4 linked regions of the Schizosaccharomyces pombe genome follow. The main gene of each other region encodes a partner of the protein of the gene in region 3 in a complex. Each region holds a gene or a part of one and is shown on either strand. Other genes may lie near its edges. The genes, in order: rpb9, rpb3, rpb11 and rpb2. A codon is read from its position in the direction of its gene.

Region 1 (3,441 bases), 3.3 Mb from region 3:
CGCATATTCTTTACCTTCTAAAACCAATCCTGTATGGTAAATACCAAGTCCAAGAGTCCATGCTAGTTTGTTTACCGGACTGTCTGGCATTAGATCATACACATTAATGTATACTTTCATATTCGAATACGTTCGGATGGCGAAGAACAACTTGCAAATTTCCTTGGTCCTCCTTAAGCAGGTTGAATTTTAAGATTCGATACCTGTACAATTAAGTATTTTTAATAAAAAAAAGTAGAGTCGAATTAAGGATAAAAATTTAAAATACGGGAGCTGTTTATGGTGGTGATTTTGTTTACATCGGTACGACTATGACAATGTTAAAATAATCAAAACATAGTACGTTTCTTCAATATTGAATACCTTTAGCTAAATTCACTACGATAGCAATCGCAATGAAATGGGTTTAATTGCATACAACGTTCTAAAAAGTTAATGAAATATAATCTCGCTGTTCGAATACGCATATTATTAGTAATGTAACAGAATTGCAAGCTTAAACAGAGGAATCATTGAATGAAACTAAGTCACAACGCTTTAATACAACTAGATAACGAAACTAGCTTTAAAGAGGAAACAGAAGTACTAACCCAAGAATTTTATATACAAATCCATGTTTGGAACCAGGATATTTAATAGCACAAAATGAATTTGCTAGTATCATTTACCCAGGCCAGAAGCAGTCTTGGTTGCTTGTTCTATACCACGTGCGATTGTGCTTCGAATTTTTCCATCTTCCAATGCCAACAAACCACTAATTGTACATCCGGCAGGAGTTGAAACATCATTACGAATCATAGCAGGATGTTGACCTTGTAAAACCATACGACCTGTACCAACCATAGTTTGGGCAGCCAATTCCTGAGCCTGAGGGAACGGAATACCCATCATTACACCACCATCTGTCATAGCCTCAATCATAGTAGCAACAAAAGCAGGTCCACTTCCACATACAGCGGTAGCAGCATCAATAAGCTTTTCGGGAAGTTTCATTGAACGTCCAATGCCATTGAATACCCATTCAGCAAACTTTATGTCTTCTTCAGTTGCGTTGGGTCCCGGGCAAATTACGCTCATACTTTCACGGATTCGACTAGCAGTATTGGGCATAATGCGAATCACCCTAGTACTTTCATCAAGCATACTTTGCAATGAAGAGATGGTCTTGCCAGCCAAAATTGACAAAATTAATTTTCCTTTGAGCGCTTCTTTCATCTTTGGGGAATTCAAAACATCCTCTGCGGCCTGAGGCTTACAACTCAACAACAAAACGTTACTAATCGCAGCCATCTCGGCATTCTCTTTGGCCCCCATTACAACTTTAACACGATCTCCGAAAAGCTTTTGAACATCCTCTTTTTCTTTAGGAAATTTGACACAAGCATAGAACTTATTCGGAATGATAATTTCGTCAGAAACATCGTTTCCATTTTCAGCAATGGAATCAAAGATTCCAGTCAAAAGTGCTTTTCCCATTGTACCACAACCAAGAACACAAAACCCCGACATTTTTTAAAGTTATGCTTAAAAATGTTTAACTATTTTTGTAGTCTTCTTTTAAAGCGAAAATAAATTCGACTAAAGCATATGCTAAGGGATCGTTAATTCCAAAATCAAACTCATACTGTAAATTACCGTTTTACTCGCTGATGTGCATAATGTAAGATACTGAAGTATGATGTTACAAGTTTGTAGGACTAGTCCATGTTTGAATAATGCTACACGTTAAAGTCAATATATCTTCTATATAATTAGTAATATTAAGTATATCGCAAATAAATTTTAAAGCAGCTACACAGTTTTTAACGAAATCTTGTAGAGACGTTGTAGATAAACAAAAGCTTTTTCGAACTTATAGATGTGAACCATCAGGACGCTGTTGTCCACTGTATTTTCCATATCCACTAACCACCACGTTCTTTTGAAAGTTTATTGCGTTGAAGTAAAATACTTTTGTTTGCTTTTTTAAAATGTCAAATTTTCAATATTGTATAGAATGCAATAATATGCTGTACGGATTAGTTTCTCAAAAAGATGACACTGAAAATTGTTTGAAAACACTAACATGAAATAAATAGGTACCCTAGAGAGGATAAAGTGGATCGTGTTCTGAGGCTAGCTTGTCGTAATTGTGATTACTCAGAGGTAAGCTTGTTTTTTTCTCCTACTGGGTTTATTCACTTCAAGAAAAAAATTCGAAGTTCTTTTCGATTACTTTTTTCCTCATCATTTGGAAGTTTTAAATATCTCATCAGCTAATTTGTATAGATCGCTGCTACTAGTAAAGTTTATCGCCATGAGTTACAAAGCTCCAATGTGTAAGTTAGATTTCATCCTTCGAATAATCACTAAATTTGTAGAGAAAACACGACGGTCAGTCACGACGCTTCAACGGACCCTACTTTACCTAGATCAGACAAAGAATGCCCGCGTTGTCATCAACATGAAGCAGTTTTTTATCAGACTCATTCTCGTCGGGGTGATACTATGATGGTGTGTTTCGCATTGTTTCATTGAGAAAACAATTTTAATATTTAGGTTTAAAAACAATTTTACTGACTTAATTAGACTCTGATTTATGTTTGCGTACATTGTGGATTTGCTTTTGAAGAACAGTAATATGCGACAATTCGGTCTAACAAGGGATTGTAAAACTAGCTGCGTCCACCAATGGCTCTTAGACTTCGGTTTAAATGATCCGCTTGATGTAACCACTCTCTCGCTTCTGTGCTGGAAAACTGGATTTTCGAGTGATACCAGCCACCTTTGCCGAAAATGGATTTACCAGCCTCTCAATCATATGCTCGCCTCCTTCCTTTATATTAAGCAACGCGCCTACCAAAACACTTGAATTTCTTTATTTCACATTCGGTGTACCTTCTGGAATATACTGAAACTGTTTCAGTTATTTGTATACAATAATCCATACGGAATAGCCTTGTAATCCGAATACCAATTAAATAAAAACCCTTAATTCTTTGTGCCTTTATTTTTTTTTATATTCTAATTTCAGCAGAGCTGTTAAATTCCAAGGCTTTCCATAATGTTGATGACTGCTTCTCAACAGGATCAGCATGCTAAAATGTATTTAGCTGACATCCATAGAGCATTGAGAATTCCTTCTCCCATCCCAAGTACTGATTACGAATGTTCTGACTATGCCTCTACAATCGCATCGATATCTCGAGAAAGTACAATGAGAAATTTTAATCGCAGTAACATCTCGTCTACGGCCCCTTCTTTTGCTGAATCTGAGGATGCTGAAGATGGCGATAGTTTCCCTTATGATCAAACGTTATCAAATTCTTCCAGTTTTGATGATCATCAGTCTCTTCTTCCTTTTTCTACAGAAGTTCGTAGGACCCCAACTTACTCTGTCATGAATGAAACGGATAGTAGTAGTACAAGTGTTGAAGACGTAAACAAAGAGAACATACTGTC
Region 2 (6,204 bases), on a different chromosome or scaffold from region 3:
GCTTGCAATCTAAGTGAAGCTCAATTCCCCGAATCGGGATTTTGTACGACAATATCTTAACTTGAAATCATGAGGAATCAACACTGTAGAAGTAAAATAACTGTTTAATAACAGTGCGATCTTACCTTTATCCTATACTATTTTTCCTATTTTCTTTTTGCATCTGCGTTTATTGAGTGAAGTGAAAGAGGTATTTATTCTACTTAATAACATGAATTTGAACTGACAGAGATCCAATATATAACAAACAAGATTCCTATACTCGTTTAAAAAGGATTTGAATAAACTGTTTTTAGGATACTGTTCTATTTACTTATTTATTTTCAGGCAAAAAAATAGTGCCGCGTGAAAGACCCTCTTTTGCTTTTCCCGATTGAATACATTATACAATTAAAATCCTTTTTTGCTAAAAGATTGAATTTAACCAGCGATTGATTGTTTTTATACGTTCGAGAGTTTCATCTCCGTTTTTATTAACTTGCAAGATCATTCACAAGACGAAAAATCCTTGATCGAATAACATTACTTTTTGCTTATTAAGTTGAACTGTTCAGATTTATAGATGACTAGCCTTGACTGTTCAATTGCACTTAAACAAGCAATCACTTTAATTCACTTCGATCGTTTCGGTATAAGACGCACTTCAAATCCTAAGGGTAGTCGACTCTATTAAATTTATAAATTTGTTAGCATAAATATAACATTATTCTGAATTGCCCTAATAGCGAGTCATGTATTCTCTTATACCAATTCCAACGCCTAAATCCTCTTAGTTCTCTTTCGTTATAATCGTTGTTCCTCTTTTCAATTTCTGAATATTATAAGCGCATGATTCACGAAATTTCATAGATTTTGTAGAGGACTTTTACACAGTGTCTTCTCCTCTATTCAGGTCTGCAACTTTCTAGCTAACATACACACCCTTTTCATCTAAACGAATGCCTTTTATTTTTAACATTTTTAAATCAAACCAAGGAGACTAGATAAATAAAATAAAAAAAAAAGAAATCAAGATCTTAACTAGATTGCAGTTTATGTTCGACGAAACTTTGGCCATTTTAAGAATTTGCCTAAGAGCTTAGGAAAAAAATAAATCTTATCCTAAAACAAAATACTTTTATCGGTTTGTCCGCAGTTAAATATAACTTCCTAATTCCTATTTCCAGTCTTTTATTTACATTTAACCATATAACGTTTTCCAACGCATCCGTTATATTTTTCATCTAATTTAGATGAATTTTCCAACTTTCACAAGTTGTCTTCTTCCAGCAGCTTTACGTTGTTGAATTAATTGGTTCTTTTGTTTTCTTTCTTCGCTTACAGAAAAATTTGGAATTGCTTGTCTTTCTGGAAATAGATCGGTTCAAGTTTAAGGGATTTTTTTGGTTTGCTATTGAATTTGCACTTATTCGAGTATAGACTTGTCAATAAGATGAAGGTAATTTGATTTTTTTTGTTCTAACAAGGAGACCCAACCTATGGAAAATAAATAGTAGTATTGGGATATATTGACGAGTTTAGGATTGGGTCTTTCCTTTGTTGTATTGCTTTTAACTGTAAAAGTCGCCGTTTCTAGGGCTATGAAGCTTAAAATTAATACATGATACTAATACTATTTTAGATTTATCCTGACTTGAAACAAGTTCAAGAGCTTGCTGAAAAGCACAAGGCTAACAAGATTCCCATTTATGGAGTAATCCCTGCCGATATGCTGACTCCTTCAGTAGCCTACTTGAAGCTTAATCAAGGAAAGAAGTATTCGTTTATTTTAGAAAGTGTCACTCAAGGAGAGAGTGTCTCAAGATACAGTTTTATTGGCAGCCCTTATAGAATATTAATGGCCAATGGAAAAACAGATCCTTTGGCACGTTTAGAACGTGAGTTGAAAGAAGTTAAAACAGCCCCTGTTGAGGGTCTGCCATCTTTCAGTGGAGGTGCTGTGGGCTATGTTTCTTATGATTGCATCAAATATTTTGAACCCACTACTGAAATGCCTTTAGAAGATACCTTGGGTCTTCCGGAGGCTATGTTTTTCATGACCGACGATTTAGTCGCTTTCGATCATGCTTATCAGACTGTCAAGATAATTTCTCATGTTTGCATTCAGCAAGGCCGACCCATTGAAGAGGCTTACGAAGCTGCCGTTTTCAAAATCAATATGCTTAAAAAGAAACTTGAAAGTCCTGAAATTCCTTTGCCTGAGCAAAAGAAGGTCCATTTAGGATACGAAGCTAAGTCAAATGTAGGCGAAGACGGGTATAAAGCATTTGTTTCCAACCTCAAGGAACATATCTTTAATGGCGATATTTTCCAAGCTGTCCCAAGCCAACGGATTGCTAGGCGTACAGATTTACATCCTTTTAATTTGTACCGCCATTTAAGAACAGTTAACCCGTCCCCTTATATGTTCTACATCCACTGTGATGATTTCGACATAATCGGTGCTTCCCCTGAATTACTGGTTAAATCAGAGCATGGGCGTATTATCAATCATCCCATTGCCGGAACTGTTCCAAGAGGAAAAACTAAAGAAGAGGATGAGGCATATGCCAAGGATTTACTTGCTAGTGTCAAGGATAGAGCTGAACATGTAATGCTGGTGGACTTGGCAAGAAACGATGTCAGTCGTGTCTGTGATCTCGACACAACAAGTGTTGACAAGTTGATGACTATTGAAAAGTTTTCTCATGTTCAGCATCTTGTTTCTCAAGTTTCTGGTGTTCTGAGACCTGATAAAACTCGTTTTGATGCATTCCGTAGTATATTTCCGGCTGGAACGGTCAGTGGGTCTCCCAAAGTCCGTGCAATTCAGCTCGTTTATGGATTAGAGAAAGAAAAGCGTGGTATATACGCGGGAGCCGTAGGTCGTTGGGGCTATGAAGATGACAACATGGATACTTGTATAGCAATCCGTACAATGGTTTATAAAGACGGAACTGTTTATTTGCAAGCCGGTGGTGGTATTGTGTTTGATTCAGATGAACAAGATGAGTACGTGGAAACTTTAAACAAACTACGTTCAAATGTTACTGCAATTGAGGAAACCGAAAAATTATACGCTGAAGAAGAAAACTCTTCAGCATAAAAGTAAAGGAGACGCTTTCGGTTCTCGTTGTACATGTTATTTTAAAGTGTTGAGGTTTTTAAAAACTTTTTTGTTGTCTTTATTTTTGGTAAACGAATAAAACATCGTTATAAAAAATTGTATTCTGTAATCTCGTTGTCCACTTGTAGCAACTTTGTCTATTCATTGTGAGCATGGTGAGCCGATATAAACTTTCCAACAAAGAGTTCAAGAGGCAATCACCGAAAATTAAAAAGATATCAAAACGACAATTCCGAAAGTGTTCTCTTTCACGAAATTATCTAAAGCTATAATAAATCCAAGTGAAGAAGAACAAAATTATGATATGAGGGAGGAATATATATCTCTATATATGCATATCAATACGTACAATATGTTGTAGCCAAAAGCCAAAAAAAAAAGGATTAGATAAAAATGTGTAAGGTATGACATGAACGGACGCAGGCCATAAATTAAAAACTTTTAGATGATTAAAAAAACGCATCTAGAGTATTTTTTATAACAACAAACATATAAAGGATGAAAATGGATAATTTTTAGAAAAGAATTGAAGCATAGTCTACCACGTGTTTTCTTCACCATTTTGATAGGGAGACCAGTTCATTTCTGCATTCTCCTCCATATTCAGTTCGTTAGCAGAAAGTTGAGTAGGCTGCTCTTCGTCGAGATCACGAACTAAAACTGCAAGCTTTTCCTGAAGAATTCGTAAACCTTGAACCATTATTTCATTGGGTGGTATAGAACCGACACTTTCGACATCCATATAAAACCGACGCGGTTCCTCTTGGAAGTTGAATGGTTCGCCTTCCCGCGGTGGTTCTTCCCAATCGGCATTTTTGCTTTTTGGCCACTCTGCATCTGCATCATTCTCAAACCAGTAATCAGTATGCTGTAACTTGTTCCATGGATCGTATTCAAATGCAACAGCTGAAGTAGGTGACCACTTAGCATGTTCTTTAGCTATACCCTTCTTGGCAATGCAACGCAGAGAAATTTCCTGCTCTTTTCTGAGTTTGCAAATAAGCGGTCCGCGTGATTTTGGATCGGCGAGAATAGGGTGTCCAAGAGAAGAGTTAGAAGAAACAACAAGATCTCTAGCATAAATTTCCATCGTACCCTCACCAGTACATTTGGCATTTAGGAACAACTCGACTGAACACTTGGGACAATACTGATCGCAATCGCAATTGCGCGTATATTCCAAACCTACTGGAGGCGGTTCATCGATGTTGGAGCTATCCAGAGGTATCATACCAAGACGATGTGCTAGAAACTCATCAGGCATGACTGAGGTATTCACATTAATTTCAACTAGGTCAATGGCTAAAACATCATTAGTATTTAATTCAAGAATGAACCTAAATCTTACCCACTGTTGGAATCTCTGCAAGTACAACACGTCGCAGCGAGTTTGCAACTCTTTCAACTATTAGAAGGAATTTCCTAGAGCTTTTCACTTACGCCAAACTTGTATTTGTAAGGACAAAATCCACCGAGTTTTTACTTATATTTCGTATCGTAATATGCGTTTCTGAATCCATAATGAGAATGTGTCGTTTGGTCTATGCTTGTTGCAGAATTTCATACTCATTTCTCCCATTCCGCACTGTTAGGTGATCCCTTATTTAGCATAAGGACACACTAAACTACGTTAAATGCGAGATCAAGGAACTCGCTTTTAAAGAGAGCAAGCAACAATTGACAAGAGAGTACGAATCTACGGCATTAGGCTTAATTCATTAATATTTATATTCTCTGTTCATCCCGACAGAATATTTGAATAAAAACATATTGTTTCAAACTCTTTCATTTTTGTTTGGCTGATTATTACTACAACTTTACATTTTCGCCATGTCTAGCATAGGCGGTAAATTACAAAAATCTTTGCACAAGATTCGTGCTGGAGCTTTAGGGATTCCTTTACCAAAACATATTCAGGAAGTATCTATTCAATATTCTTTAGACAGCCGTTTGGGACATATGGGTGCTAAGTAAGTTTTGTTTATTCGTGTTAGAATCATCGATGTTGTCTATGTACTGGTACCTCAAACATTTTATGCTCAATTCATGTTTAATTCTCTCAAATAACTGCTTGATAATACTTTGTGTGAGGAAGCACTGATCTACGATTCCGTTTCATGCGTTGTTCATTGCTAACGTTTTAAATTCTAGAAAATTTGTAAAAGAATGTCTTCCTTCATTGTATTACAACAATTACGGCTTGAAGTTTAACGTTAATCACCGTTTACCGAACGATCAAACTCCAACATTTTCCATTATCTCAAACAACAAAGTAATCTATTCGTACGACATGCGGTCAAAACAGCTGGAAACAATTTCTTCCGATATTCAAAAAGCGCTTAAAGAACTTCATCACGAGTCATCCCCGGAAAACATTAAGGAAGCGCACAAACAAGATTATTCACCTCCTTCTAATTAAGCAAAAACGCTTTTAAAATTACTTTTTTTCAGTGAACAAAATATGCATCTTTTTTTTTTCTAAAAAACCTTTAGTTTTGCTGCAGTCCGTTTACTGTATTCCTTTGTTTGATGATCCATAAACCTACAATTCCCTATTTTCTTTTTTATTTAAAAAAGTTGTTTGAGTGAAAAAGAATGCTATCTTGAATACGAGCTTTAGTCTAAAAAATACATCGGCTTGCATTAAGATTTTTCTATCCTTGAACGAGAGCGTAAATGCCGTAAAATAAAAGAACAAAGAATGACCGAAATATTCTAACTTGGTATAAATCATATTTGTTGATTGAGTTCTTTGAAAAAGTTTTTGTACATGATTATGAGGGAATGAACTAATGATCGTTTGGTATGACAAAATAGCGTTTCTCCTCTTACTTGATCGTATTTTTCCTAAAGAAATAAAATTTCTGCCAACTTTGTTTATATCCATAATGCAAAATTCCTGCTGCAGTTTATTAGATATTGAGGTTTTTTTTCGGTCAGTGGAGGAAAGTGAACAAATTTGATTGTAGAGTTTAAAAATGGTTGAAATTGTGATCATATCAAATAGCCAACCATCTAAATTACGAAGTACAATATCTTTTTTACAATATCCTCTTACCAAACTCTTCGGGTTTCTGTTAACGATGAGCATGTACTTG
Region 3 (3,258 bases):
ATGCTCCTCCATTTTCATGCTGCGTTGACGTTCGCGATAAATGTTATCAATCATTTGAACAGCTTCAGGCGATTTCGAAATTTCAGAAATATGTTTCGCACTTGCTGGTAGTCGATGATATGCTGTATAGGCATCACTGGAAACAACCCAAGAAGCTAGACCGCCTACCATAAATCCCCCAATCCCTGCTAATAACAGCTTATTTTGAAATAATTTAGAGCTCATAATCAAAAATTGAACAAAGTTTCAAACTTTTCGTCACAATGTAATAGGAGCGTTTACTATTAGCGATATTCGGACGTTATAAAACTGATACGCAGATGGAGCATATGTGCAAAGCATAGGGTATCATTAATTTATGCAAGAATATTTATCGTATATTTTAAGAAAATATAATTACTTACATATCCAAAAAGTATTCTATAATAATAACTAATACAGGAATAAACAAATTTCGTAATGCAATTGAAGCAAAGCATTTGGAGAGAAAATGATGATTGTGAATAATTCAATGACATAAATTGTAATAGTACAACATTAATTAATTTATTTCTTTTAAGATTGAATGTAAGAATCGATGCTCTGCCCTACTGTAGGAAATTAATCACTTCGATTACATTCAGCAAAATTCAACTTTGAAAAAAAAAGCAATATCAGAGAATAATCCAGGTACCTAGAAAAACTTTCATCGCCATTGCTGCAGTTTTCTAGTTGGTTTATGAAGAAGCATATACAATAAAAGATCGGAGAACTTTCACCTTTTTTAAAGCATCTGTTTTCAAAAAAGAAAGAAACTTTTATTTTCCCTTTTAATACGACTTCGGTCCAAATTACAGAAGTTGCGAAAACGAAAGTCAAAATTTTTGTAATAAAGATGCATACAGAGGGTATTCTGTATTTTTTGAAACAAAACTCTAATAAATATTAGAGAAAAAGCAGCCGTGGATTTTAGGAAAACTCCATTTCAACGCCTTCAACAGATATCATTTTCAACTCCCATTCACGCATAAAATTAACTTTGATTTCTTCCAGATGAGTAATAAGGGACTTAGCAGCATCAACAATAACCTGCTTTGGAGAACAATCTTCTACGGTTTGTACACGAAGTATGAAATTGTGATTTAATGGATGAGGAACTTTGTAACCAGCAAAAAGAACCCTTTCGTCAGATAGGAGTTGACTTCGAAAAAGCAGTTAGAAAAGAAAAAAAAATTTAGAAGTCTTACTTTGCAAGCATATTAGCCAATGTATGATCCTCTTTTTCAAGAGTAACTACTGCGGCATTAGGTGATTTGCTATCGAGCTCATATGTGACTCTACACTGGTTAATGCAATTCCTTGTAAAATTGTTTATTCCTTACTTGGGGAGTCCCATAAGCTCAATGAGCTCATACCGTTCTGGCTGATTCATTATGCCAACGTTTTCAGCCGACTAGCTGAAGAAGAAGTAAGATGTTGATGCTTACGAGGGTTTTGTCCACGTTCTGTACATTAAGCATCACTATAAATCGTAATGCCATTTAACAAAAGCTTTAACACTTTATTCCACAACTCATCGTATTTCGTTATAAATAACGCGAACGTGAACGGACACTTAATATATATTTATCTGTTGGAAATCGGCTCAAACGAGTAATGAAATGGGAGATGTAACAGTATTTTTTAATAACTGATTTTAATAACTAAAATTTTTAAAGGCATATTTTGAGGCGTTTAATTGTAGATTAACCGTACTTGTTTTCATTGAACTGTGCAGAAAGATAAACAACAAGAAAGCTCATTTAAATGTTGAAAAAAAAATAGTTTTTCGTACTTATTTCATTTTTTAGTTTCATAATGTAATTCGTTTGTTCGTTTTAAACAAATATTTTTATTGTTTACATTCTATGTTTCGCTTTGACTGTTACCTTATACCGTTACCTTTTCTTTTATGACGGAAAACGCGCCAACTTAAACCCTCCATTTACCCAAATCGAGAGTTATTCAAAATGCATCAATCATTATTATGTTTTGGAGCAAGACGCTTGCCAATGACCACAAAGTTGGGTCATCAGTATTACAAGGGTACAAGAACTGGGAAAATGGGTCAAAAAACCAGGCATGGAGGTTTTCTTGTCCAGTGGTCGCGTGTTCGCACGTTTGTGCCTCCTTCTGGTGATTGTGAGGTATGTTGTAAATTAATGAATATTGTTTTATATTAACTTTCAAAGCTTTTGCCTTTTGTTTCTCGTCGAATTCAAGCCACTAAAGGAACTTATCCTGAAGGTGCAAATGGGTTGGATGGAGCTGTGTATTTTGATCTTGCTCATAGCTAGTATGTTTATCAGCCTCATTCTTTATTGTTTTGAAAAATTTTGGTACCCTTTTCAACTGTTGCTTTATTCTATCTGTTAATGATTGGGCATACACTTTGAAAGGAGAAATTTCTACGTTACGATACCTTATGTTGCGTTGACTGTTGTTATTTATTGTTTACGGACACGTATATTTATCGATATTCTGTTGTGACGTTTGCTTCTATTAAATATACTAGTTACATTCTTACTTTTTCTGCCAAAATTGGGGGCAATCTTGAGTACTGCGCATTTATATATTTATTATAGGATTAGTCTTTTTCATCCCATCTATCTTAGAAAAAAAAGGGCTGCTAATACCTAGCAATGCGGTTTAAGCATGGATTTTCTATATCTTGGATATCAGGTATAAAAATGTCGAAAACTTCATGTTTCTTGAAGAAATACAGACTAATATTACTTTGGTGTATCCTTGGCATTGCCTACATTTTATTCTGGACTCATCGGATTAGCAAAGCGTTTGCTTCAGTATCCTCGACTTCGGACTCAACCGTCCATCTTTTTGAGCGCGGAAATACCTTAAATGATAGCAACGACCAAATTTTACTTACATGCAATGATATCAAAAACATTACCCCTGCTAATCAATGTCGGTTTGCAAAGGCTTACTGTAAGGGAGAGGCTAGTGGGTTCTTTGATTACGTTGAATTTTATTTTTGTACCATTAACAGTCTCCGATTCCCAGTGTTATCAATAATTGTGGGATGGCTGATTTTCCTTTTCATAACTATCGGAATTTCTGCTAGTGATTTTTTTAGTACCAATTTGGTTACTATTTCGTGGCTACTTCAATTGCCCGATTCTGTGGTTGGCGTTACTTTTCTTGCTTTAGGCAATGGATCTCCTGATATTCTTAGTACGTTCGCTGCTGTACGTGTCAACAGTGGGGGAATGGCTATTGGGG
Region 4 (6,006 bases), 580 kb from region 3:
AATTCAGTCTTTTTTGAATGAGATTTCGGGAAACCTACAATACATATCTTTGCTGGATCTCCCTGTTCATGGCATGATGGATATCGCAGTAAATTTCTTGTCAACTGGTGATAACAATGAACCAAGTAAAGTTTTCAGCGTATACCCGTTGAAACTCAACAATGCGGAACTAAAGATTAACGAAGTTGAAACCACCATTGATGGTTGTGAAATTTTGTTTGGAAACAAACCCAAGTTAGATTTTGAGTTGGCAATTCGAGATGGTTACCTCGAAATTGGTCTTTTCTGCCAATCGTCTATATTTTCCAAAAGAGAAGCCAGTGTTTTTATAAACAATTTTGTTACAATTATTAAGGAAATTGAACTTTAAATTGAAGCCGAAATTAGGTAACAACTACATTATTATTATATAAATAATATATATATCTGTTAGAACACAATTTAAGTAGCTTATGTAAATAAATGATAGCTTCTTTAAGATCACACCGATCATCCTTCTGTATGTTCATGCTATGTTTATGTATTAATTTATTCAAATAAGCAAAACTACTTATGGTTTTTAGTAAATAACCGCGGTGCAATATTCATCGACATCAATTCTTGGAATAAAAGCTTGGCAGCATACGGTAAATAAACTTGACTAAACCGAGTACGATTTTGACATGATCGGCATTCATATGAGTCTTTTTTGTAACTGGCGATCGCTATCAAACCACAAATATCGCATACTATAACTCGGTACGCATCAGAACAATCAAACAAACGTTCTCGTAATACACTACTACAACCATGAGAAATTTGGCAATCACGTTCCATTTCTCCAAAACGAAGGCCACCATCTCTAGATCTGCCTTCAACGGGTTGACGAGTCAAAATTTGCACAGGTCCTCTAGCACGAGCGTGAATTTTATCGTCCACCAAATGCTTTAGACGCTGATAGTATGTGGGACCAAGAAAAACTTGGGCAACAAGCTTCCTACCAGTATGACCATGGTACATAACTTCAAATCCTCTCGACTGAAAGCCATGTGAACGTAACAGCTTAGAAACCGCTTCAACCGTAACGTCTGTAAAAGGTGTGGCATCACCTTCAAAACCAGATAAAGCAGAAACCTTGCTAAGTTGACATTCGACTAAATGAGCAACTGTCATACGAGACGGAATGGCGTGTGGATTAATGATGATATCAGGAACAATTCCTTGTGCAGAAAATGGCATATCTTCATGACGATATGTCATTCCAATGGTACCTTTTTGACCATGCCTTGACGCGAATTTGTCACCAATTTGGGGTATACGAGTACTTCGCATTCTAACTTTAACAAATTTTAAGCCTTCTTGGTTAGTGGTGACCATTACTTGGTCAACAATACCGCTTTCAGTGCTTCTCAAAGGAGTGGAAACGTCACGCTTTGCATGTAACTGAGTACGTTGACCTAATTCTTCATGATCTAGGGGAATTGGAGCTGTTTTACCAATAATAATATCTTCGCCTGACACTCGAGTGCCAGGAGCAATTAAACCATCATCCTCAAGCTTGTCGTACGTACCGTGTTTCATCCTTAGGGTTGTAGACCGGACCGGCCGTTCAAACTCCTCCATAACAGTCATGCCAATTTTCTTTTCTTGGTCCGTGTACGTTCTGTAGAAAATACTGCGGAATAATCCTCGATCAATACTAGCTTGATTCATAATAATGGAGTCTTCTTGGTTATAGCCACTATAACATAGAATGGCGACAATAGCATTCTGGCCAGCAGGAAGTTCACGGAACTTTAGGTACTCCATCGATCGAGTAGTCGCCAACGGCTTCTGTGGATAGTATAGGATATTTGCCATGGTATCCATTCGTACTTGGTAGTTTGTAAGATAAACTCCCATAGCCTGTTTACCCATTGCAGATTGATAAGTATTACGAGGTGATTGATTATGATCAGGAAAAGGGATAATACTAGCAAGGATGCCAAGAATCATCGCAGGATGTATTTCACAATGGGTCCAAGCATGCACATGAGGATTAGGAGCTGGCTTAACTCTTTGTGCAGGATCCAGTTCTTCCTTAACTTCATACCCAGCTTGCATTTGACGTGATGCTTCAAGATCTTCCGGACTCATTGCTATCATAACCGTCTCCTCTTCTTCTGCATCTAGATACTCAATGAGACCACTAGATACTAAAGCGGTCCATCCAAAGCGTTGTTCGGGGTCAATGTCATATCTGTCTTTATCCTCTATTAGTTGTTGGATATGCTCTTTACGAATACATAACTCTCCTCTTCTTTCACTATTAGGATTGTTATCCACAATAAATAATGGTCTACAAATACGACCTGCATCTGTAAAGAGACGAAGCTCTTTTTCACGGATATCGCGAACGATACTAACCTCTGCAGATATGTCCAATCTACGACGAAGGCTGCGTAGCGTCTCTGTTAAATGAGCTGGATCACGATGTACTCCTAACCACACACCATTCACGAAGACCTTTGTTGCATTAGGAGACGCTGAAGGGTTGTAATCTTCCAGTGTTTCTAAACCCCATTCTTCTAAAAACTCGATAATTGGAGCACTGGGTGAACCTACGGAAACATAGCTCATTAGAGACAAATTTTTGACTAAGCCGCAAGCTTGTCCTTCTGGTGTTTCAGCAGGGCAAACCATACCCCAGTGTGTGTTGTGCAACTGACGGGGTTTAGCCAATTTTCCGTCTCTACCGATAGGAGTATTTGTACGTCTTAAATGTGATAAAGTTGAAGCGAATGTATATCGGTTAAGAACTTGTGATACACCAACCCGATTAACCATACTGCGTTTTTGGTCTCCCCAATTACCAGTAGCCAATGAATAACGTAAACCATTGGTAATAATGTTTGACTTCACAGCCAGGGTAAGGTTGAATTCACGATTTGTTTCAACGCATTTCTGCATATACTTATACACATCGCGAGTCATTTTACGAAAGAGCATACGGAACAGAGATGCAAGTAATGGACCTGCAAGGTCAAGACGCTTTTTCCCGAAATGATCTCGATCATCTGGTTCACGACGCTCTAACGCACACAAAAGCATACGATGGATCATGTAACCTAAGAAAAACGCCTTTCTAGTCTCAAAACCTTCCATTGTAGTAATATGCGGAAGCAGCTCTTTCTGTAAAATGTCATGGGCATATCGAAGACGTTTTTCACGCGTAACACCAGTAGTACTGCCTCTTTTACCAATGTAATCCAAAGCTATATCTTTATCTTGAATCACAAATGCTTCTTCGATACAGGGCTTCATCATTTCAAGCATTTGGAAATCATTTGGGTCGTAGCATATATGTTCCAAAATATCACGATCAGGTACAACTCCAAGAGCACGGAACACGATGACGATAGGAATGTCACTCCTGATATATGGAAGTGTTGCTCTAATTGTCTGACCAGAATTCTCAGTATTACGTGCCATTAACTTAATCTGCATAGAAGAAATAAGCCTACTACCTCGTTCCAAAGCAGAGCGAATTTCAGCAACGTAAGCGATGGGGCTCGGAGCGGCTTTTTTAAATACTTGTACAATATTGGCAGCAGATCTCTCTTGAGCAATGATTACCTTTTCAGAGCCATTGATAATAAAGTATCCTCCCTGATCATAAGGGCACTCATTCAAATCGTACAATTCAGAATCACTAACACCATTTAAAATGCAAAAAGTAGAACGGAGCATGATTGGTATCTTTCCAATAAAAACTTTTGAGGGTTCTTCATCCTCTTCTTCAACAAGCCACTCCTCTTCGCCGATGGGAACATTAGAATCGGCAGCAACCATAACTTTTTTACGCATGTCAACGTATAAAGGAGACGAGTAAGTCAAGTTACGAAGCCTCGCCTCTTGAGGAAACATAGTAGTTGTACTACCATCAGCTTCAGTCATTGTAGGCCTTGAAAGATAAATCTGTCCAAAATTTATTTCGTATCGACGTGTAACATCTCCTTGAGCACCCGTGTGTTGTGCATATTGATCTAGAGTTAAAGTGGAATCATCATCAACAATTTCTTGCATAGTATTTTGAACAAACTCATCGAAAGAGAACAATTGTTGCCGAGCTAACGACGTTTCCTCAAAAAACGACGAGATCACGGTCCAACAATCCTCCTGAGTCAATGTCTCATTGTATTGATCTATTATGGTGTTAAAAATGACTTTATTAGTAACTTACAATCCTCATAAGACATTGTTGTTGAAATGGCACACGCAACAGGATATGTTGGCGGTGAGGAAGAGGAATAAATGTTGAGGCTACCGTAACAAGGATATCGTACCGTAGTGGCAATTCGACTTTGTGTTCAGTAAAAAAGTCTTTAAGCATCAAAAAAAGAACCAGTTTTTTTATATCTTTTACTTGTTTTAATCATTCAATATAGCTAAGGTACGTGAAAGGCCATTTTCCTTTCAAAGCAATTCGCAACTCTTTCATTATGTGTAAAAGGCTACTTAGCGTGAATTTTTATTAAAAAGGTAAAGGCTTCACTAAACGTAGTTCAATGAGATTTAGTAAAGAAATCATATCTAATAGCACATAAACGAATTTCAATTACTGATTGGGACAAATGGAGAGATTACTAAACATTTAGCAGACACTTTTCTAAATGCCAATAATAAAAATTACCTTCTCTACATAATTAACGACCTTGGTTACTGATAATAATCAACAATACAGGTGAAATACAACAATCTCGGAATCCTTTTATTCCTTCCTTTATGAACTAATTTATTGAAGAAACAACCTTATTTCTTAGGAGCCATACGACGAAGGTAGAAATGTAACTCTTCACCTTCAAGGATGTAGCCGTCGCAACGACCAGATTGACCAGGGCGAGAGGAAACTACAGCATACAAACGGCCAGCAGCAAACTGAGTTTCCAAAGCGGAATCAACCTTAGAATCGCCAAGACGAGCGCTATGCTTACGTTGAACATGCTTGGATTTGGGAGTAGGTGTAGCAGTGGCCTTCTTACCCTTGCTTCCCATCAAAATACCGTAGTGAGTTTCATACCAAACACGGAAAGGAGCGGCATCAATTTGGACGATGGCCGACTTGGTCAAAGTGTTGGTACGAACCAACTCGTTGTTAGAAGGGTGGTAGGCGACTTGAATGATACGAGTCTTCTTGGAAACACCTTCAGAGCCCCAAGAGAAGTTACCAGAGTCAAGACGAAGAGCACGGAACTTCTTGTTTCCACCACGAACACGAACCTCATGGATACGCTTAGGTCCAATACGAGTGTTGGAAGGTTGACGACCCAACTCGAATTTTCTCTTCTTACGGTATTGAGCACGCTTAGCACCGGTAGCAGAGCGCTTGTGGCGGGAATCTCTCGTAATACCCATCCTGATCCTTTTGCAGAAAGAGATTTGCTGTGGTTACGATGAACTAGTATATAACACAGTAACTGAAATTGTTTGGGTTTGGCTGTGACTGTTATTTTTGTTTCATACTACTACTAATACTTTGTACTTAACGAAATTCGGTGTATTCTTACAAAAACCGATACCGTAAGTTAGCGTATTATCGCTTAGCTCTACATTTAGTAAACTGTACAACGATGCTCGGCTCTGATTAAGCTCAATTCATCCCGACAATCTTTAACGAAGTAAACATTGTATGCTCATTAACGAACTAATGGGAGGACTTCGATATTGTAGAATTGGCGTTCTTTTTTTCAATTTGGTATTCTGATTATGATATGCGTAATAGAAAATGATCGCAACCTTTCCAATCATGCCTTCCTTTCTCACTATTCCTTCAACAATTTTTTATAAATACCTATTTACTCAATCCTCTTAGCTACGTACAGGTGTTTTAAGGGATAGAATATTTGGCGAGGGTTTGATTCGGAAAAGTAATCATTGTGACAATTACTACCGCCTACAATGTCTCAACCTGCTGATATAAATCAATCTGAGAGCTCTGCGGAAACCATTACCCAGGGTCGACGGGCTGATAGACCAGAAGAAACTCCT

What was found.
Region 1: rpb11 (region 3) and rpb9 share a complex: the UniProt entries of both Schizosaccharomyces pombe proteins name them as parts of the RNA polymerase II (Pol II) complex.
Region 2: the proteins of rpb11 (region 3) and rpb3 are in contact, whole or in part, in a crystal structure (PDB 3H0G), measured with the Schizosaccharomyces pombe proteins. Residues at the interface, in NP_593333.1 of Schizosaccharomyces pombe: Arg6 (codon at 1,396), Tyr7 (codon at 1,393), Leu9 (codon at 1,387), Ile10 (codon at 1,384), Glu11 (codon at 1,381), Lys17 (codon at 1,363), Val18 (codon at 1,315), Leu34 (codon at 1,267), Glu37 (codon at 1,258), His39 (codon at 1,252), Thr40 (codon at 1,249), Leu41 (codon at 1,246), Asn43 (codon at 1,240), Met44 (codon at 1,237), Leu45 (codon at 1,234), Asn47 (codon at 1,228), His68 (codon at 1,119), Ile86 (codon at 1,065), Val87 (codon at 1,062), Ala90 (codon at 1,053), Lys91 (codon at 1,050), Leu93 (codon at 1,044), Ile94 (codon at 1,041), His96 (codon at 1,035), Leu97 (codon at 1,032), Glu98 (codon at 1,029), Glu99 (codon at 1,026), Ile100 (codon at 1,023), Lys101 (codon at 1,020), Asn103 (codon at 1,014); in NP_588324.1 of Schizosaccharomyces pombe: Thr5 (codon at 4,614), His6 (codon at 4,611), Ile7 (codon at 4,608), Thr8 (codon at 4,605), Ile9 (codon at 4,602), Ile12 (codon at 4,593), Val17 (codon at 4,578), Asn23 (codon at 4,560), Thr24 (codon at 4,557), Ser25 (codon at 4,554), Leu26 (codon at 4,551), Ala27 (codon at 4,548), Val28 (codon at 4,503), Ser31 (codon at 4,494), Leu32 (codon at 4,491), Arg34 (codon at 4,485), Val35 (codon at 4,482), Glu39 (codon at 4,470), Arg88 (codon at 4,277), Ile164 (codon at 4,049), Lys166 (codon at 4,043), Glu167 (codon at 4,040), His168 (codon at 4,037), Pro241 (codon at 3,818), Asn242 (codon at 3,815), Met245 (codon at 3,806), Val246 (codon at 3,803), Leu249 (codon at 3,794), Arg250 (codon at 3,791), Leu252 (codon at 3,785).
Region 4: rpb11 (region 3) and rpb2 share a complex: the UniProt entries of both Schizosaccharomyces pombe proteins name them as parts of the RNA polymerase II (Pol II) complex.

The regions. Positions count from the first base shown.
Region 1 is NC_003424.3:4,750,862-4,754,302, reverse strand, and holds rpb9 (DNA-directed RNA polymerase II complex TFIIS subunit Rpb9), read left to right. Parts: upstream 1-1,897; 5' UTR 1,898-1,970; coding exon 1,971-2,011; exon of another isoform or gene 2,012-2,078; coding exon 2,079-2,145; exon of another isoform or gene 2,146-2,268; coding exon 2,269-2,318; exon of another isoform or gene 2,319-2,360; coding exon 2,361-2,493; exon of another isoform or gene 2,494-2,568; coding exon 2,569-2,619; 3' UTR 2,620-2,913; downstream 2,914-3,441. Other genes in the region: sdu1 (PPPDE peptidase family protein), read right to left, coding at 1-120; pro3 (delta-1-pyrroline-5-carboxylate reductase), read right to left, coding at 661-1,509; mid2 (septin ring organizing protein), read left to right, coding at 3,044-3,441. UniProt on the Schizosaccharomyces pombe protein: DNA-dependent RNA polymerase catalyzes the transcription of DNA into RNA using the four ribonucleoside triphosphates as substrates. Component of RNA polymerase II which synthesizes mRNA precursors and many functional non-coding RNAs.
Region 2 is NC_003421.2:1,782,354-1,788,557, forward strand, and holds rpb3 (DNA-directed RNA polymerase II complex subunit Rpb3), read right to left. Parts: upstream 4,646-6,204; 5' UTR 4,627-4,645; coding exon 4,547-4,626; exon of another isoform or gene 4,505-4,546; coding exon 4,455-4,504; exon of another isoform or gene 4,409-4,454; coding exon 3,645-4,408; 3' UTR 3,086-3,644; coding exon of another isoform or gene 1,622-3,085; 3' UTR 1,439-1,621; coding exon of another isoform or gene 1,433-1,438; 3' UTR 544-1,432; downstream 1-543. Other genes in the region: trp3 (anthranilate synthase component I), read left to right, coding at 1,433-1,438, 1,622-3,085; mrp49 (mitochondrial 54S ribosomal protein mL61), read left to right, coding at 4,937-5,076, 5,258-5,525; SPOM_SPCC1442.11C (uncharacterized protein), read right to left, coding at 5,649-6,197. UniProt on the Schizosaccharomyces pombe protein: DNA-dependent RNA polymerase catalyzes the transcription of DNA into RNA using the four ribonucleoside triphosphates as substrates. Component of RNA polymerase II which synthesizes mRNA precursors and many functional non-coding RNAs.
Region 3 is NC_003424.3:1,432,106-1,435,363, reverse strand, and holds rpb11 (DNA-directed RNA polymerase II complex subunit Rpb11), read right to left. Parts: upstream 1,439-3,258; 5' UTR 1,412-1,438; coding exon 1,362-1,411; exon of another isoform or gene 1,317-1,361; coding exon 1,227-1,316; exon of another isoform or gene 1,181-1,226; coding exon 949-1,180; 3' UTR 522-948; downstream 1-521. Other genes in the region: SPOM_SPAC3A12.08 (uncharacterized protein), read right to left, coding at 1-225; mrpl27 (mitochondrial ribosomal protein subunit L27), read left to right, coding at 1,989-2,165, 2,211-2,315; SPOM_SPAC3A12.06C (sodium/calcium exchanger), read left to right, coding at 2,709-3,258. UniProt on the Schizosaccharomyces pombe protein: DNA-dependent RNA polymerase catalyzes the transcription of DNA into RNA using the four ribonucleoside triphosphates as substrates. Component of RNA polymerase II which synthesizes mRNA precursors and many functional non-coding RNAs.
Region 4 is NC_003424.3:848,887-854,892, reverse strand, and holds rpb2 (DNA-directed RNA polymerase II complex subunit Rpb2), read right to left. Parts: upstream 4,258-6,006; 5' UTR 4,218-4,257; coding exon 4,202-4,217; exon of another isoform or gene 4,164-4,201; coding exon 547-4,163; 3' UTR 508-546; downstream 1-507. Other genes in the region: ferrichrome synthetase Sib1, read left to right, coding at 1-370; rps802 (40S ribosomal protein eS8), read right to left, coding at 4,771-5,373; sst1 (calcium permease), read left to right, coding at 5,917-6,006. UniProt on the Schizosaccharomyces pombe protein: DNA-dependent RNA polymerase catalyzes the transcription of DNA into RNA using the four ribonucleoside triphosphates as substrates. Second largest component of RNA polymerase II which synthesizes mRNA precursors and many functional non-coding RNAs.